Linked DNA regions of Mus musculus: all the other regions are reported to be linked to region 1. Evidence: microRNA targets listed by miRTarBase, many of them from high-throughput screens and not tested one by one. Region 1 holds a microRNA gene; each other region holds the end of a gene's coding sequence.

Region 1 (5,462 bases):
TCTGACCCGGTGGTTTATTTAAGGTATATTTTATATAGTACAGTTTGGAAAATGTTTCCTTGTATAACTCCATGTGCCGGTAGGGCATGGTTACCTTGAAACTCTTTTCAAAGTATGTGTCACTTCTTCATGGTAGGTATAGAATCCATCATGGAGTCTGTATAGACTACATGCATTATCTTCAGGGTCTTGGAGAAGATCTCCAGGCTCTGGATGTGGTCTCAGTCATACAGATAGTGCAAAGGTCACTACACTATTAACCATCTCCAGTTCTGTTTTTAAGGGATGGAGACAGGTGTGGCCTGGCCCTACAAATAGCACAGAGGTCACCGGGCTTTTAACAACATCCATTCTCAGCCTTCTGGGCAGAGAATAGGTTAGACATCTTTTCCTCTGAAGAGACAGCTCCGCGTGTTTAACATTCCTGGTTTCCCTGGTGCTTATATGTGAGCACCAGGGCTCTGTGCCCTCTACAGTAAACTAAAAATAGCCAATATGTCTTACGTTGTACCTTGAGATAGTTTGAATAGGTATAAGTGTTTGAATGCTTACCTATAGGGAGTGGCACTTTTTGGAGGTGTGGCCTAGTTAGAGTTGGTATGGCCTTGTTGGATGAATTGTGTCACTGTGAGGACAGGCTATGATGTCTCCTATGCTCAAGTTACACCCAGTGTGACATACAGTCTCCTTCTGCTGCCTGTGGATCAAGATGTAGAACTTTTGGCGTCTGTCTGCACACTGCCATGCTTCCGGCCTTGATCATAATGAACTAAACCTCTGAAACTGTAAGCCAGCCCCAAGTAAATGTTGTCCAAGTAAAAGTTGCCTTGGTCATAGTGTCTTTCACAGCAATAAAAACCAAACTAAGACATGCTTAAAATGTCAGGTAGGTGGTTAAACTTAGTGGGTTAGAGGAATATTTATACATTTATCTGGACCAAGAATTATGAACCAAATTTATGATTCAGAGCTTGTAAAATAACATATGATAGACCTTCGGGTTATCTTAGGAATAGTCAATGCTACAGCAAGTATTAAATGTGAGTGTCAGAGCTCTCTTGTACTAATGACATCCAGCACCAGCCTTGGTCCTTCCACACTCATTCTCTGCACAGATCAGAAGTAACTACAATTACTGAGGGACTGTGTCAGACCCCTAGGTATTAGGACAGAAGACAACTTAGCCTCATCCCACAGCCCCAAGAGCATACACTGGACGGCTGCTTTGATTTCTAATGGAAAAGCTTTCCTTTGATTTGTGGGATAAGTTGATGTCTCATTTCTCTCTTCAGGTATATATATGTATTACCTGAAAGCCCAGGGCAGTTGTTGCCTTGGGTCATGCAGAGAATATGCAGCCACACCCATGCCTTAGATGTGTGTAATTCAAGTGGAGAAGACACAAGCCAGTGGTCGCAATATCAACACTTGAGTGTTCTGTAAACGGTGAGTGTGAGAGGTGGGAGTCAGCCAGTGCGTCTCAGAGGTGATTTAGAGCCATCAGGAGGACAGGAGGAGCTGCGCTGTAGGTGTTAGGGATCTCCTAGTTGATGGCTTATACAGTGTACATGGTAATAAGACAGTACGGAGTCTTACACTTTTCCCAGTGTGCCGGCCTTGTTTTCACTTCCTGTTTCGCTCTTGCTGCTTCTCTCCCCTTAGATTAATGTTTGCCATGTGCAAGGAAATGGCAGAGGCAAAATGCTGGCGGCTTATGGAAAAATAATTTATAAAAAAATGATGGGTTAGTTCTGCCAAATTTGAGTAAGTGAGAACACGAGAAACCATATTCTGTTAGAGCTTGAGAAAAGGAAGGAAAGTCAAACGGTGAGTCTAACCTCATTTATTCCAGGATTGGTGTCAGCAGAAAACCAACAGTGATGTGGTGGCACACAGTGAACTGACAGGACCCAGGCAGCAGCGGTTCTTTTGGTGGCAATGGTGCCATGTCATGGGTACTCTCCTTGCTGATGGCAGATACCGACAGGCAAACTGTTGCCTTGCGTTTAGCTCTGTTAACCATTGACAGTAAGGTAAGCATGTCTTCAGCGTTCATGGCTCTTAAAGATCTTGTCTGTAACACAAGGGTTTAAGACTGGGGTCTCATTTTGTTGTCCTGACTTAGACTTGGCAGTCCTCCTGCTTCAGCCTGCTAAGTGCCAAGATTACAGGGTTGAGCCAGCATGCCTAACTTCTAGTTTAGTTTCTTCAGACAGGGTCTCATGCAGCACAGGCTGGCTTTAGACTTGCTATTGAGCATAGGATTACCTTGAACCCTTGATCTTCCTGACTCTACCTTCTAAGTTCTGGGATTCCAGGCATGCTCAGTTAAAACAATAGGTGGATTTAGTCATATTCTTCTGGAGACTAAGACAATAGAGTCCTTGAAGTCAAGCTGACTCTGCCTTTAGCCTCCTACATGAAAAGGTAGATAGAACAGGTCTTGTTTGCAAAATAAATTCAAGACCTACTTATCTACCAACAGCCATTGCCTACGTCCCACAGTCTTCCTACAAGAAGTGGGTGCAGTGAACTCCTAGATGAGGAAGGCTGGGAAAGCCAGAGTGGACACAGTCTCTACTAGTGATAGAAAGGTGCTTGGAGGTCAGACAGGCGGGTTAGAAAGTTGAGAACTTGTTTCCTATAATGCAGGTTTGAGGAATCCAAAAAGTGTATTGTCACTTACACAATTCTGCATCACAATGAATTGTAGGTGGGTCACGTAGGGCAGTAGTTGTACCAGATGTGAGGGTGAGACGCTGAGACGCCCAGCTGCCCATAAACTGGTTCTGTTTGTACTAAAGGGCAAGTACACGCTTCAGAAATATTTTATTTCATGTGCACAAGTGATTACCATCATTTGAAAAGGCAGGGAGCTGATATGTGTGTGTGTGTGTATGTGTGTGTGTGTGTGTGATGAAGAGTGAAGAGGGGGCTTATGTGCCGTGGCACACATGAAGTTCAAAGACAACTCTCCTTCCATGGTGTCGGATTTGGGGATTGAACTCAGGTCCTCAGGTTTGGTAACAAGTACCCTTACCAGCCCCAGGAGCCAGCCATTAAACATACCAATTTTTTGCCATTTATAGTGGCTCATGCATGTAATCTCAGCATTTGAGAAGCTGAAGCAGGAGGCTTGCCACAAGTGTAAGGTCATCTTGGGCTACCTGGTGAGACACTGTCTCAAAAAACCCAAACCAAATAGCCACCACCACCAACAAAGTCCAAAACAAAAAAAGTAATTCTGTGAATGAAAGCTATTTAGTTTACCAGAAGCCAATGCTGTTTTATAGCCCATGTTCCTAACTACTTGTTCCTTCTCTCTGCTACTTGTTATGTTCTGGGTAGTGTGGCTTTTAAATGCTTGCAGTTTCCACCCACGTCCTGTGAAGGCTTTACAGACTCTCTCCCCTTTGCTAGGGTGTGGAGCCAACACCCGTGCGCTCACTCAGTCAAGAGTTAACGCGGTGGGGCAGGTAAAGCGGGAGAAGAGCGGATGTTGATGGAGTTTGGTTTATCTGCTTAGTATCAGGGTCGTGTGACAGTGGTCTCAGTGTTAAAGATACTTTTCTATGTTGAGCGTGGAGTTCAAGGCTAGCCTGGCCGAGTTATAGGCCCCCCAGGGCTACATAGTGAGACCCTATCTCAAACAAACATACAGATACTCACATATAAAAAAATGTTTTTAAATGTTTATCTGTTTTGTGTTTTAACAGATTTATCAGAGGTTGCAGCTGCACATGGCCATGAGGTAAACCTTGCCCCTGTTTGAAATTGAGTTTCATCAGCTTCTACATGGGATTATAAGGACTTGGAATATATCACAGACCCAGCAGGGTTTCCCCCCTCATTTTTTTTTTTTAAGATTTATTTTTCTTCCTAAAGATAACATGCTTAAACAAAGTTCTTTATGGTTAGTAACTGTGATGCTTGAAGTTGGTTATCCCTTACTCCAGTAAATTTTAAATGTCAAAGATATCTTGTTAAATAAAAAAAAAACTATCAAAATTTTTTGGGTATTATGTTTTAGTCATGTCCCCATATTTGTGTTATGTGCAAAGCAGTGCAGGAATCCCAGTAGACAACTCAAACTGCCCATGCCTGTGATCCACGTTTCCCATTTGGTGGTTTCTATTTCAGTAGTAGAGAACTTCTTTCACTAAATACACATGCATATTTCATTAACAGCTTCAGCCAGCTTGTGTTTACATCTGCAGTGCCTTATGTCAGGGTAAGAAGAAGTTGTGTGTGTGTGTGTGTGTGTGTGTGTGTGTGTGTGTGTGTGTGTGTGTGTGAGAAAGAGAGACAGAGAGACACAGACAGACAGACAAGCTCTGTGGGCAAGTGATAAATCAGGAATCTGAGCTGCTGCTTGCACTAGTAGAGTCCAGAAGGAGACGAGAGTTGTTACTGCATCAGAATTAGGGTGGGCTAGAAAACAAAATTCTAAAGAGAAGAGTGTCTCCCTGGGCAGTGAGTAGGACACACCTGCGTTGGCGGCATCAGGGGACTTGGTACTCAACAGTGTCCTGGTTTTTCTCAAGTGAAGTTATTACTCTGCAGCTGGAGTGCTAAGCTTTGACAGTGACTTGAGTTGGGGATTGGAAATGTGAACAGGGGAGCCAGCAATGGAGCTGGTGGAGACAGGCACCATGGTCCTTAGCTGAAGACAGTGAGGCAGGGCACCCAAGAGCTGCTGGCTACAGTGCGTTCCTCTCCCTAGGGCCCAGCTTTGACTTCGGTGAGCTGATGATTGCCTTGAAACATCATAAATATACAGTATGTCACTCATTACTTGGCACTTAGGTTTAGATGAAGCATCACATCCTTATGAGACAAATACAGTCTTTCCTTTGTTTGATGGGGAGCACTGGTCTGTAGGTTTTAGGCAAGTAGATACAAAATAGCAGTTGGACCCAGTCCTTGGCTTCAAATCCACTGCTTTTTCACTTCTTGATGGTTCCTTGATGAATCCTAGCTAATGCTCTTTCTCTTATCTCCATCTATCTGAGCCCCTTCCTCGGGACTCCATTCACCCCAATCACAAGTAGATTGTGTGTGTGGGCATGGCAGTAACTCTCCAGTGAGCCACAGGTAGCTTCTGTTCTTCACACTGCCTCCCTTAAGATTTTTCTCCTCCCTGCCATCTTTCCCACCAAGAGCAACATGAAGCCAAGAGCAGTGGAGCGTGAAGAAGGTGCTTCTTTAGGCAGCATGTATTGGCATGCAGCTGACGGCATGTTAGCCCCCAAAGTCAAGTTATAAACAAGGCACACAGTCTCTGCCTTTAGGCATCTTGGACGTAATTTCAGAGTTAGAGTGGAGTTAGAACCACCATGAAGCAGAAGACAGCGTGTTTCAACAGTGTGCATTTTGCCGTGCTGCTGCCAGCTTTTGTTAGGAAACACTGGGCTAGATAGATGGTTGTCTTAGTCACTCTTCTATTGCTGTCACAACACTAA
Region 2 (5,462 bases), not on the chromosome of region 1:
ACTGGTTGGTTGGTTGGTTGATTGGTTGGTTGCTTTGATGGCTGGTTGACTGGTTGGTTGGTTGGTTGGTTGGTTGGTTGATTTTTGATTGATTAATTGGTTGGTTGAATAATTGACTTGGGTGCTGTATTAGGAATTGAACAAGGACCCCATGCAGGCTATGCAAGAACGACACTTCCGAGCTACATTAGCAGCACATTTTATTTTGAGGTAAGAACTCAGTAAGTTGTCATTCTGTGGCCCAGGCCCAGGTAGATCCTGAACTTACAGTCATCAGGCTTGGGTCTCCCAAGCAGCTGACAAAGAAGCTGATTCTTTATGCCAGATGAGTAAAACCGTTACTATGGCGACAAAATATTAAAACTTTCCTAATTTTAAAAAGTAGTCAGTCCCTTTAGTTTTGTTTGTTTTAGTTTGGTTTAGCCAGTATACAGAGTAACAAATCCTTAACGGCTTTTCCATAGTCATTTTGGCTTTCCTATTGTTAACCCTAACACTTTTCTTTCTTCAGGTGCGGTATGGCTCACTAAAATATAAAGTGAAGAAGAGACCGCAAGTGTATTTTTAGTGTCTACACCTTGCCCTTCCCAAGATGAATAAACCGCTAACAGATCAACTTCATTTTCTAACCTGATGTATTCAGGGCTTAACACTTTAAATCTTCAGAGTGTGGCAGGGATGGGATTTACGCAATGACTTTAAATGGTCTGTGTTTCTTTAACAATTACTTTTAGATGTTTAACTGCTAAACTTAGTTATGTAAGGTTTGTAAATGTACGTGTAGATAACAAAAGTGACCGAGAATCGCGTCCCTGATGTCAGCAGCAACACTGAGTGCCTAGGGCCTAAGGATAAAGCCTAGCTAGACCCAGGGCAGACTTCAAAAGTCTCTGCTCCAGGACACACCTGCCTGCCGTTCTGGTGTTGCATTCTGTTTACATCATCTTGCCTGCATCTATCACAGGAGAGTGGTGACAGCCCCTGAGGAGCCAGTGTCATTGCCATAGGAGGGGGCTGTGTCCTTCCTTAAGCCTTAGACGCTGAAAGTTTTTTAAACAAATGATTTGAAAACCAGGTGTCCACATAGCACTTTCCTGGCTAGTTTTGCACACTTGAAAATTGTTTACTTATTTTACAACTGTACATTTACATTTTCCTGATGCTGTCTGTTTTGTTGTCTGTCATATTCCGACATGTCAAGATCATGCCTTGAAACCGCGTCATCTCCTTTTCCTATGGGTTTGTTTCGTTTGGTAAATCCATTCAGCCCATTATAGACACATAACTGTTAAGTTTGTAGTCTTTTGTTTTGTTTTATTGAGGTAGGGTCTCTTCCCTGATCCTCGTCCTGCTTCCACTTCGCCATTGCTGGGATAACAGACGTTATCACACTTGGCTCATTTTAAATGCCCTTCAGTTATATTCCGGACATCTGAGAAGTTATCTTAAACATTAACCAGTTTCCATCATTGAATTTGATGTGGTTTTTCTCAACAGCAAATTATTCTAGGTTATTCTAGGTTAAAAAAAAAAAAGCTTTTGGGGGCTGGAGAGGTGGCTCAGAGGTAAAGAGCACTGGCTGCTCTTCCAGAGGTCCTGAGTTCAAATCCCATCACCCACGTGGCAGCTCACAACTGTCTGCAATCCAGCTCCAAGTGATTTGACACCCTCACACAGATATGCGTACAGGCAAAACACCAATGCACATTAGATAGAGATAGATAGATAGATAGATAGATAGATAGATAGATAGATAGATAGATAGATATTAGATAGATAGATAGATAGATAGATAGATAGATAGATAGATAGATAGATAGATTGATTTTGTGGAAGCGTCACAGACCAATGTAGCACTTAGTGTTTTCTAACTCATGGACTTCCCAATGCCCACACTCAGCTCCTGAGCTCGGCAGAGGCCTATGCTGCCTTACAGACCCAGCAATGACTAACATCTTTTAGATCTTTTTCTGCCTGAGATTATTCTCTGAAAATGAGTGTCAGGGTAAAACACAAACACCATTGATGCTACGTAACAGGCTTCCAGAAAAATGCCATCTTTTATTTTATTTTATTTTATTTTATTTTTGGGTTTTTTTTTTTCGAGACAGGGTTTCTCTGTATAGCCCTGGCTCTCCTGGAACTCACTCTGGAGACCAGGCTAAAGGCCTTCTTTTTAATCTAACAGATTTAGAGGGATTGAACTCAGCTCCTTTTAGGTTGCCCTACTAACTGGACATTGTGGACACTAAATCATATTGGGGTGATGAATAATCAAATTTTCAATATCAAACAATGCTTACATGGGGGTGCCTGAATGGCCCACACACACAATGACCTCTTGATACTACGAATATTTTCTACACAGAATCACATTGTTAATATTTTTAACACGAAATAAAAATTCAATCTTTTTCCTCCCCAATTTAATCTTGTATCTCCATCTACTTTGCTTTGACTAATAGCCTCTTCCTTTCGAAAAGGATTCTTTAATTTCTATTCAAACATCTATAAAGTCCCACAATAAATTATTGGACAGGATGTATTCATTTCTCATGAACCAGACCTGCTCTGAACCAATGCTGTGCGGCATGGGTGGTTTTCCCTGCAGAGGCCGTGTTACCTGATAAGGTGATGTGATAAGTACAGTAAGTTACTTTGTCTCCATGGGGACAAATTGGCAAGATTGTATCATATTCAAGTCCAGTATCAGTATTAAACTTACCCTTAGGAGCTAAGGATAGACACCATGCTTGAGGTACACAAGGCCTTGAGTTCAATCCCAAAACCAAAAAAAAAAAAAAAAAAGATAGTTAAAACAAACTTATTATTATTTAATGAGTTTGTATACTATTTGTTTCTTCTTTTGACTTTTGTTTGTTTGGGTGGAGGGTGTTTTGTTTTGTGAGACAGAGTCTCTCTGTGTAGCCCTGGCTGTCCTGGAATTCACTCTGTAGGTCAGGCTGGCCTCAAACTCACAAAGCTCCACCTGCCGCTGCCTCCCAGATGCTGCCATTAGAGGTGTGTCCCACCATGCCCAAGTTGTTTTGAGACTAAGCCTCACTCTAGCCAGCCTGAAATGCACTGTGTAGCCCAGGCTTACTTCCAGTATATGGTCACTCTGGATGCCTCCGCCGCCTTTTTTTTTTAAATATTTTTTATTATTATGTATTTTCCTCAATTACATTTGGAATGCTATCCCAAAGGTCCCCCATACCCTCCCCCCCCCCCACTTCCCTACCCACCCATTCCCATTTTTTGGCTCTGGCATTCCCCTGTATTGGGGCATATAAAGTTTGCGTGTCCAATGGGCCTCTCTTTCCAGTGATGGCCGACTAGGCCATCTTTTGATACATATGCAGCTAGAGTCAACAACATTATGCCTCCGCCTTCTAAGTGCTGAGATTACAGGTGTGTGGCTCCATACCCTACTTCACAGGCGTTTTAAATTGGGAGAAATATCACGTTCTAGAATCAAAATTCTCAAGCAAAGATACCGCCTGACTCGGAGCTAAAGTTGGCTGACCTGCTCACTGCCGTTCACCCTCCCGGTCCTGGTCCCTGCTCGGGCTTGTCCCTGCTGTAGACATGCTCATATGCGCTTGATGACTGTCCTACCCCGCTTTGTTTCTGTCCCCAAGGTCTCATGTCATAGCATGCCCTTTTCTTTGAACTCTGTATGCTGAGCTAAAGCGCTGTTTTGTTCTGTTTCTCTTAAAGAGGACCGGGTCACCTTGTTTGTTTCTGCTTTTGAGCATGCTGATTTTTTCAAGAGATGTAAATTTATTCATAGACCACAGTGCCTTGACTTAACCCACACTGCCAACTGGAGCACCAGCACGCGAATGCACAAACCGGTTTAAGGCACTGTTTCTCTCTGCCTTTTGACATGTATCCAAAAATTATAGCCTACTAGCATTTCATCTTAGTATCCAGTCGTTCAGCATGATCACTAACATTCCCCGTACTTAGCTGTTGTTTAAGTATAAAAATTGATATGTCTATACTGTGTCTTTCTTTTTCCTTTCTGGTATTAAGAAGAGCCATAGCTGGAGAGATGGCTCTGTTTTAAGAATGCATACTGCTCTTACAGAGGACCTGGATTCAGTTCTTAGTGCCTAAGCCAGGTGTTTAGTTCACTGCAGCCTGCAGTGCCAGCTCCTGGGGGTACAATACCTTCCTCTGATTTCCAAGGGCACCTACGTGCATGTGAACATTCTTTCTCACGGATACACATACACACATCATTTGAAATTAAAAAAAAAAAATCCTGTGAAAAACAAAAAGGAACCAGAAATAAGCTGATTACTACATAAACAATTGTCTACGGCCACCTCAGTTCCTCATAGGTCCCCTCCACACACACTGTGTGTGTTTTCTAGGGCTAAAAAAATGAGATCTTGCTATCGTTTCTAGCAATAAACACTTTAGCACATAGAGGTCTGGGACAGAACTAACTCCTCATGTGTTTTCAGGGATCTTATTCCATGTGTCACCACCAAAGACTTCCACAGTATTATAAAACATGTAACTACTCTAAAATGACGTCAGCCCTTGGCTACATCGTCTTCTTTCTCTTTTGTACATTTGGAGAAATGCCTGAACCTTAATGGTATTACTATAATACTGTCTTATATTAACTGTAGGGTTTTTTCATTGGAATATTGTCTGCCATTGGAGGGGCGGGGGAGACAACGAATGAAGATCTAAATACAGAAATCTGAACACAAGTTCCAAAGCGTGTCCTCTGACCTCTCCCTTTTAGGTTGACTTATTTGTGAAACAGGTAAAATTTGAGAGGGTCATTGTTTTGTGGTTTGTACTATTTCTTAAGAAACATACCCTAAGATTAAATTTTTTCTGAAAAGAAAGTATCTTTTTTTCCTAAGTACTTCTCAAGTTAGTCTTTTAGTGGGAATTCTGCCGATTAACCTTGACTTAACATTTTTTTCCTTCTAATATATATTTTTTAACTCTGTGTACTTTAATACTTTAAGTGGAAATAATTTTATAAAATCTCTGTTAAATCTCAAGCCCCAAATGTGGGTGGCTCTGCATGTGTGTTTTGGGAAACTTTTACAATAAAGTAAACTCATTTTATTAGTGGCAGCTGAGTATTTTTTTTTCTTTATGTGTCTGAATATGTATGTTGAAGTCTGTGAATTGATGTCCTTTATTGTTCGTTATTAGTAACAGAGAACATGTCCATGTCCTTCAGCTTGCAGCAAGTCAGGACTGTTGTTACTTTCTGTAAAGCTTCACTTGGGCTGAGGAAGGAGTCCTGGGTTGTGAAGTCTGGATGCTAAGACAGAGAAGCAGGGCAGACACCACAGGAACTTTGTCACAGTGACTGACAGACTGTCTTCAGCATCGAGTGTTAACAGAAAATTCAGGTTTGTGGATGCTGAAAGTGTTCTGGAGTTCTGTCTGTCTGAAAGGCAGAGGAGGTTTGTCTGCATCGG
Region 3 (5,462 bases), not on the chromosome of region 1:
CCCTTTGTACCATGTACTCAGCAGTGCATTTGACTCAGAGGTACTTCTCCAGCAACGTTGGGATCACAAGGCAGCCAGCTGATGAGCTAACACAATACATCTATGGGTTCTCAGAGCCAGGAATGTGTAAGGTTTTCTGATCCCTGGAGCCATCCTGATTAAAACAGAAGTCCTCTTCTTAGGTAGCTCCTAGTTACAGCACTGAGGGCTCACAGGAAGATGATATAAGAATTGTTTTCAAAGCAAGGCTACTGTACAGTCTTTAGGTTAGCTATCTAAGCTGGTGTGGGTTGTGAATCATTCCAACAGCTGGGATTGCCAGAATCCAGACTGGTTGTGTGAGCTGAGACTTTTCCCCCTGCATCTCTATAAAGCTGCATCAGCTTTCCTTCCCTGTTGTGAGGCAGGGTCTCCAGGTGTCAGAATATTTGTTTTTTACTGTAGCTTTGTCCCAGGCCTCTGAATCTCATAAGATTCTGAAGTCCTTCTTTCAACTGTCCCTCACTGGAAAATTCAACTATACATTGTTGTTTGGGTTTTTTTCTTCACAGGAAGTGACTGCTAGGTGCCTCTAGTTCTCTCCTTGACCTTGGCTTGCTCTTCTTCAGTTGAGTTCTAACAGCTGTCATTTCTGCACTCATCAGTTGGGAATTGGATCCTTTCCTTTAATTTTATTAGTATAAGTAGTAAGTGGTGTTCCTTTGGGCTATGAGTCTGATTGGAAGCCAGAAAACAAACCACACATATTGCACTTCTGGAAGCTTTGTTCTTTAATGAGCCATGGAGTGATTTGTTCAGCAGGCTGCTTTTGTGTAGCTATACAGTGCATACTCTGAGTGACACAAACTGCACTTTATACAAATGTCTTGCCCCCTTCCAAAAAAAAAGGAAATTACAAAGTGCTGCTGATTTCATCAGGAATGTAATCAGTTCTGTGAATAAGTCATTCTTATAGAATTCTTAAACAGTAAAGTGGCATATTTCACAGGTTGTGTCCTTTTATAATACACAGTATTTTAAAACTTTACACTCACCATACTTATAAATTACTTTGAGTCCATTAAAATAATATAATACTAATCTGTAGTCTACACCTTTCCCATAGTAAATACAAATACTTGGTTCAAGAGGTGCAACTCTTATATGACCTAAGAGGGCTGATAAATAGGCATTAAGAGTGGACAGGTGACAAGGTGACAGACCCATTGCTAGGGCTTTTTTGAAGTTTAAACCAGGAGATCAGTAAGATCTAATACACTGGAGATTACCCACTTAACACCAAAAGTGTGAGAATGTTCCAGAGAAATGTGGTCTCTTAGGGATGCAGAAAGTCAGGTCTTCTACAAATACCTAAAAAATTTTACTACTAAGGCCAGCATGGTGTTGGGACACAGTGCTAGGAAGTTATCACAAGTGTGTGGGTGCATATAACACACCATTCAACACAGAAGAATGCAGGGCCCACATCTATTTCCCCACCAAGAATTTTTAAAGTGAGAAAGCCATCTGGACAAACTTCTTTCTCCAGTTATAACTCTCAGCGTCACACACCTGAGAATCCTTCCTTCGCTCTAGCTTATTAGTTACAGTTGAAAACACAGCTCACAGGCACAAAGGTGGAATGATACAGCCTCAATGTATCACCTCATATGAGCACATTTCCGTGACACTGTCTTTGATTGAGACACAGAACAGTCTTCATACCCTATGCAAGGTGAGAGTGATAGGTTTCCAAAGCCTGAGAGCTGGCCCTAGTGACCTGTGCCCTGAACTCACATCCTTTTGTCTCTCCTAGCAATACTCATATCTCCGTTTGTGTGTATGACCTAGAATGGTCATATAATCAAAATGGCAGGAAGTACAAATATGTGCAAACTAAGTGTGTCACCTCCCTGAATCCTGCCTGCATTTGCTGTAATTTGCTTCAGTCTGTGATGCAAAATGTATTGTTTGCTTCTGCTACATTTTCTATGACACACAGCTACAGACACATATTAATGAGTAGGGAAAAATGTAGGAGTTATTGTGGACTAGAAGTATGTGACATAACTAGGATGCTCTGAAGTTTGGAGCACAGGTTCCACATGTGAGACACTCTGCTGCTGCCAGAGAGTTTCTTTTGGTGCATTTTAAGACTGAAGAAAAGCAGCTAGACAGACATAACAGTGAACTCTATGTGGATCTGTATCATGGGTGAGGATTCAGAGGCTCTGTTAAGAACTGATGGAGCCAGACATCTGACACTACTGAGTTATGGCTTCGTCTCTATCAGATCAATAGTGCCTGCTAACCCAAGAACAACAGCACTCTTTTCCTTACAGGGACCTACACTTTGCCGAGACATTCTTATAGTTGTGTGGATTTCCCCCACCCATCCTGGCGGCTTGTTAAATGATTAAAAAATCCACAAATCTAGCAAATGAAAAAAAAAGTTTTTATTTAACTTTATTCAAATTCAGGTTTTAGGTCCCTGAGAAAAATTATAAAGTCTTTAATATTGATTACCTAGTTCCTACAAGGTGACCTATGTAGGTAGGTTGGTTTTTTTTTTTTCTCAGCCCCAAATTTACTTTATAGAAATAATAAAAACAAAAAACTGAGCTGTAAAACTTTAGGAGGGAGAATGTGTGTCAAGTGCTGAGTTCCAGGACATTCCTCTGAAACAAAGGAAATTGTTCTGAGCCAAGTGGAGAGCAACAGTTAGCAACAGTTACCACCCAGTAGCAGCTACTTTCCCCAAATACTATAACAGACTGTATAGCCAGAAAGGCCCAAAACAGCACCCCACCATATCACAGCCATGCTGGCTTCCTGTAGAACAGTTTCCAAAACTCTTATTGTTAATGCTGGAGGGATATAAAAGTTAGCATTTACTGAATGACCATCATCATCGGGGAGATTTTCAAAACTTCCTTCATGTGTCTCAATGCTGAACCCATACCATGGAGAGGGAAGACTCCAGCCACCATGAGCTGCTGTGCAAAATAATGCTACAAGTCTCATCTCTAGAGCCGGCCAATGACCACTATTGCAGTGGCGTGAGGTTCAGTGTTGTGTAGGAGGAGAGACCTTGCCTTAACAAAAGACTTCTATTCCTGTAACTTCAAACCAAAAAAGGAGAAGGAGGAGAAGGAAAAGAAGAGGAGGAGGAGAAAACCAAAATTCAGGTTATGGATATTAAAGGCTCTTCTTGTAACAGTGCATGTGGTAGTTAGACAAAATGTATTTAGTGACTTTAAAAATAAACATTTCATATACTTAAGAAATGGTATCATGTTTCACTTCACATAACATAAATAGCAAAAACAGAGTTCTAGTCCCACAATTGCTAGTACATGATGCTTCTGACATTATAACTTATGGAAACTACCAGTGATGAAAAAGATGCCCTTACTTATTCCTCACCCCGGGGGTGAATGGCTCTCACCACCTGTCTAATGGCCTCTTATCTGTAGGGAGAAACTCAATGGGAATAAGGGGAAAGCACAAGGTTAAAAAGAACTAGGCATATTATACATGTGTATTTACAGTAAACTTCAGGAACAAGAATATTAACAAAAATAGCTTCAAGTAGTCCTTGATTTTTTTCATCTAATACTGATGGTCTGATAAGAAGACAAAAATTAAATAGATCATATTTAAACTTTCTAGACTTCTTTTGGCGGCTTTTTCTATAACACTCATGCACAGTTGTATGTATGTGAGTACTCCTAGATAAGTGATGAAATGGTTACATCTATGGTGGTACTCCACCAGCAGATGAGTAGGCTCGGATACAGTCTTCAGTTTATACAAAAAGAAAAGCTTGGATCAATCAGGATGATGCGTTCACATTTAGGAATTACCTAAATGTGCCTGTGACATATTTCAAACAAAAACCTAGAGGAGTCTGATCTATAATCAGGGCATACCAATACAGTATGGCTACCAGAACTTTACCCCATGAAATATATTTGGCAGGAATTAACCAAGCGTTAAACCAGCACTGACTATAATACCAAATATCAACAAGAGACAAAGCATGGTCTCTTCACATTCCTGTAGCTGAGACACTCTGGGCTTAATGGAAATCAGTTTAGGTTTCCAAAAGATAACATTGAATGTTTTGTAATTAAATTTAAAATAGAGGGCTTATAAATCCTTGGGGAAATTTTTATATTCTAACACAGTTCCTAACTATTCCAATACAAACTCAAAAGCTTTTGTTTCCATGGTTAACAGAGGTTTGTATGTTTTCTTTAAATGCTAGAAATGAGAGCATACCTCAGGATCACAATAGCTCCCTAGTTCAGCAACTATCTGTGGGAAGGGAAAAGTAGGTGGGCAAGAAGCAACTATTATTGGCCAAAATCCCCCAGGTCCCAGGTGGCTTTGTTCAGTGGACTCTCAAATCAAATACAGCAGCCAAGGCACAGCTGGCCCATCCCTAGCAAACTTCAAAGCGGCCACTTTTGCCAGAAGCCCAGTGATCCAGCATACAATCTGTCTGCTGAAACGAGGCAGGACCATTAGGACCGACTGTTACAAACAAGGTGACCAGAAGAGGCCCCAAAGATGAGATCTGGGGACACATCTGTCCATTTAGACCATAAACTCATTATTTCCAAACAGTGGTAGTTGCTGTGTGGAGCTGCAGTCTGAGTCCACAGTTTTCTTTCGGCCAGATGTGACTGTCCCCTCTGGGGTCTCTTTGGTTTTCTGAGGTGAGTTTTTCACATTCTTTAGTTTTTGTTTGCCCTTTTCAGGGTTGAAGGTTCCTCTGCTGATGAACTGAGGCCTGTCTTCTAGGGATTTGGCTTGGCCTAGCGGTCCTTCCGTTCCCTGGGCCTCACAAGCTGAAGCAGCTCGGTAAAATGGAGACTTGGAATAAATCTGAAATCGCTTTCTAGTGCCATGAGATGATGTAGTGTTTGATAGACATGAAGAAACGGAGGAGCTGACGGAGTCTAGAGAGTCTGGCTGCTTTCTTAGCTGCTTCCGCGACTTGCTTGAAGGTTCAGACTTGCCAGCTGCTTTCAGGGAGCTAAGGGCTAAACTTCTCTCTAAAAACAGAAAATAAAGTTGTACATAATAGTGTCTACCTATGCAACATCATGTAATGAAGCTACTGTTCACATGTGAAACTGAATGGGTAAAAAGTTCTGAGGATTTAGTCAATCTCTTTTGTGCAGAATCATTATTGTAAAAGCTGTCTTGGAGCTGGCCTCAAACTTACAGCGATCTGTCTCCTGAATCTGGGATTAAAAGTATGCACCACCAACCAGACTGAACCTGAGAAAGTTTTTTTTAACATTAAAAAAAAAAATTGCCGGGCATGGTGGCGCACGCCTTTAATCCCAGCACTCGGGAGGCAGAGGCAGGCGGATTTCTGAGTTCGAGGCCAGCCTGGTCTACAAAGTGAGTTCCAGGACAGCCAGGAAACCCTGTCTTGAAAAACAAAAACAAAAAAAAAAAAAAAAATA

The links. Region 1 holds the annotated microRNA mmu-miR-1839-3p (AGACCUACUUAUCUACCAACAGC, at 2,464-2,486, shown strand). A microRNA usually pairs through its seed, bases 2 to 8, with sites in the 3' UTR of a target mRNA and lowers its output. Matches are read on the target gene's strand: a 7mer-m8 pairs with bases 2 to 8, a 7mer-A1 pairs with bases 2 to 7 and ends in A, and an 8mer does both.
Region 2: the mRNA of Reep3 is a reported target of mmu-miR-1839-3p. Seed matches in the 3' UTR shown: 8mer at 2,954-2,961.
Region 3: miRTarBase lists Myo9a as a target of mmu-miR-1839-3p. Seed matches in the 3' UTR shown: 7mer-A1 at 2,521-2,527, 7mer-m8 at 2,323-2,329, 7mer-A1 at 1,823-1,829 and 7mer-A1 at 1,145-1,151.

Annotation. Positions count from the first base shown.
Region 1 is chr7:81,527,495-81,532,956 of GRCm38, forward strand. It overlaps Mir1839 (microRNA 1839), which reads left to right and starts at 2,422; the gene lies at 2,422-2,494. It overlaps 2900076A07Rik (RIKEN cDNA 2900076A07 gene), which reads left to right. Exons shown (of 4, transcript NR_160675.1): 2 at 1,293-1,446; 3 at 1,853-2,033; 4 at 3,717-4,004.
Region 2 is chr10:67,008,836-67,014,297 of GRCm38, reverse strand. It overlaps Reep3 (receptor accessory protein 3), which reads left to right. Exons shown (of 8, transcript NM_178606.5): 8 at 512-5,109. The coding sequence ends at 568. The region is part of intron 1 of Gm31763 (predicted gene, 31763); the gene reads right to left. Among named protein-coding and RNA genes, the nearest start is that of Gm31763, 6.5 kb to the right of the region's middle.
Region 3 is chr9:59,924,151-59,929,612 of GRCm38, reverse strand. It overlaps Myo9a (myosin IXa), which reads right to left. Exons shown (of 44, transcript NM_173018.2): 44 at 747-5,042. The coding sequence ends at 4,582. The region is part of intron 2 of Gm20275 (predicted gene, 20275); the gene reads left to right. Among named protein-coding and RNA genes, the nearest start is that of Gm20275, 14 kb to the left of the region's middle.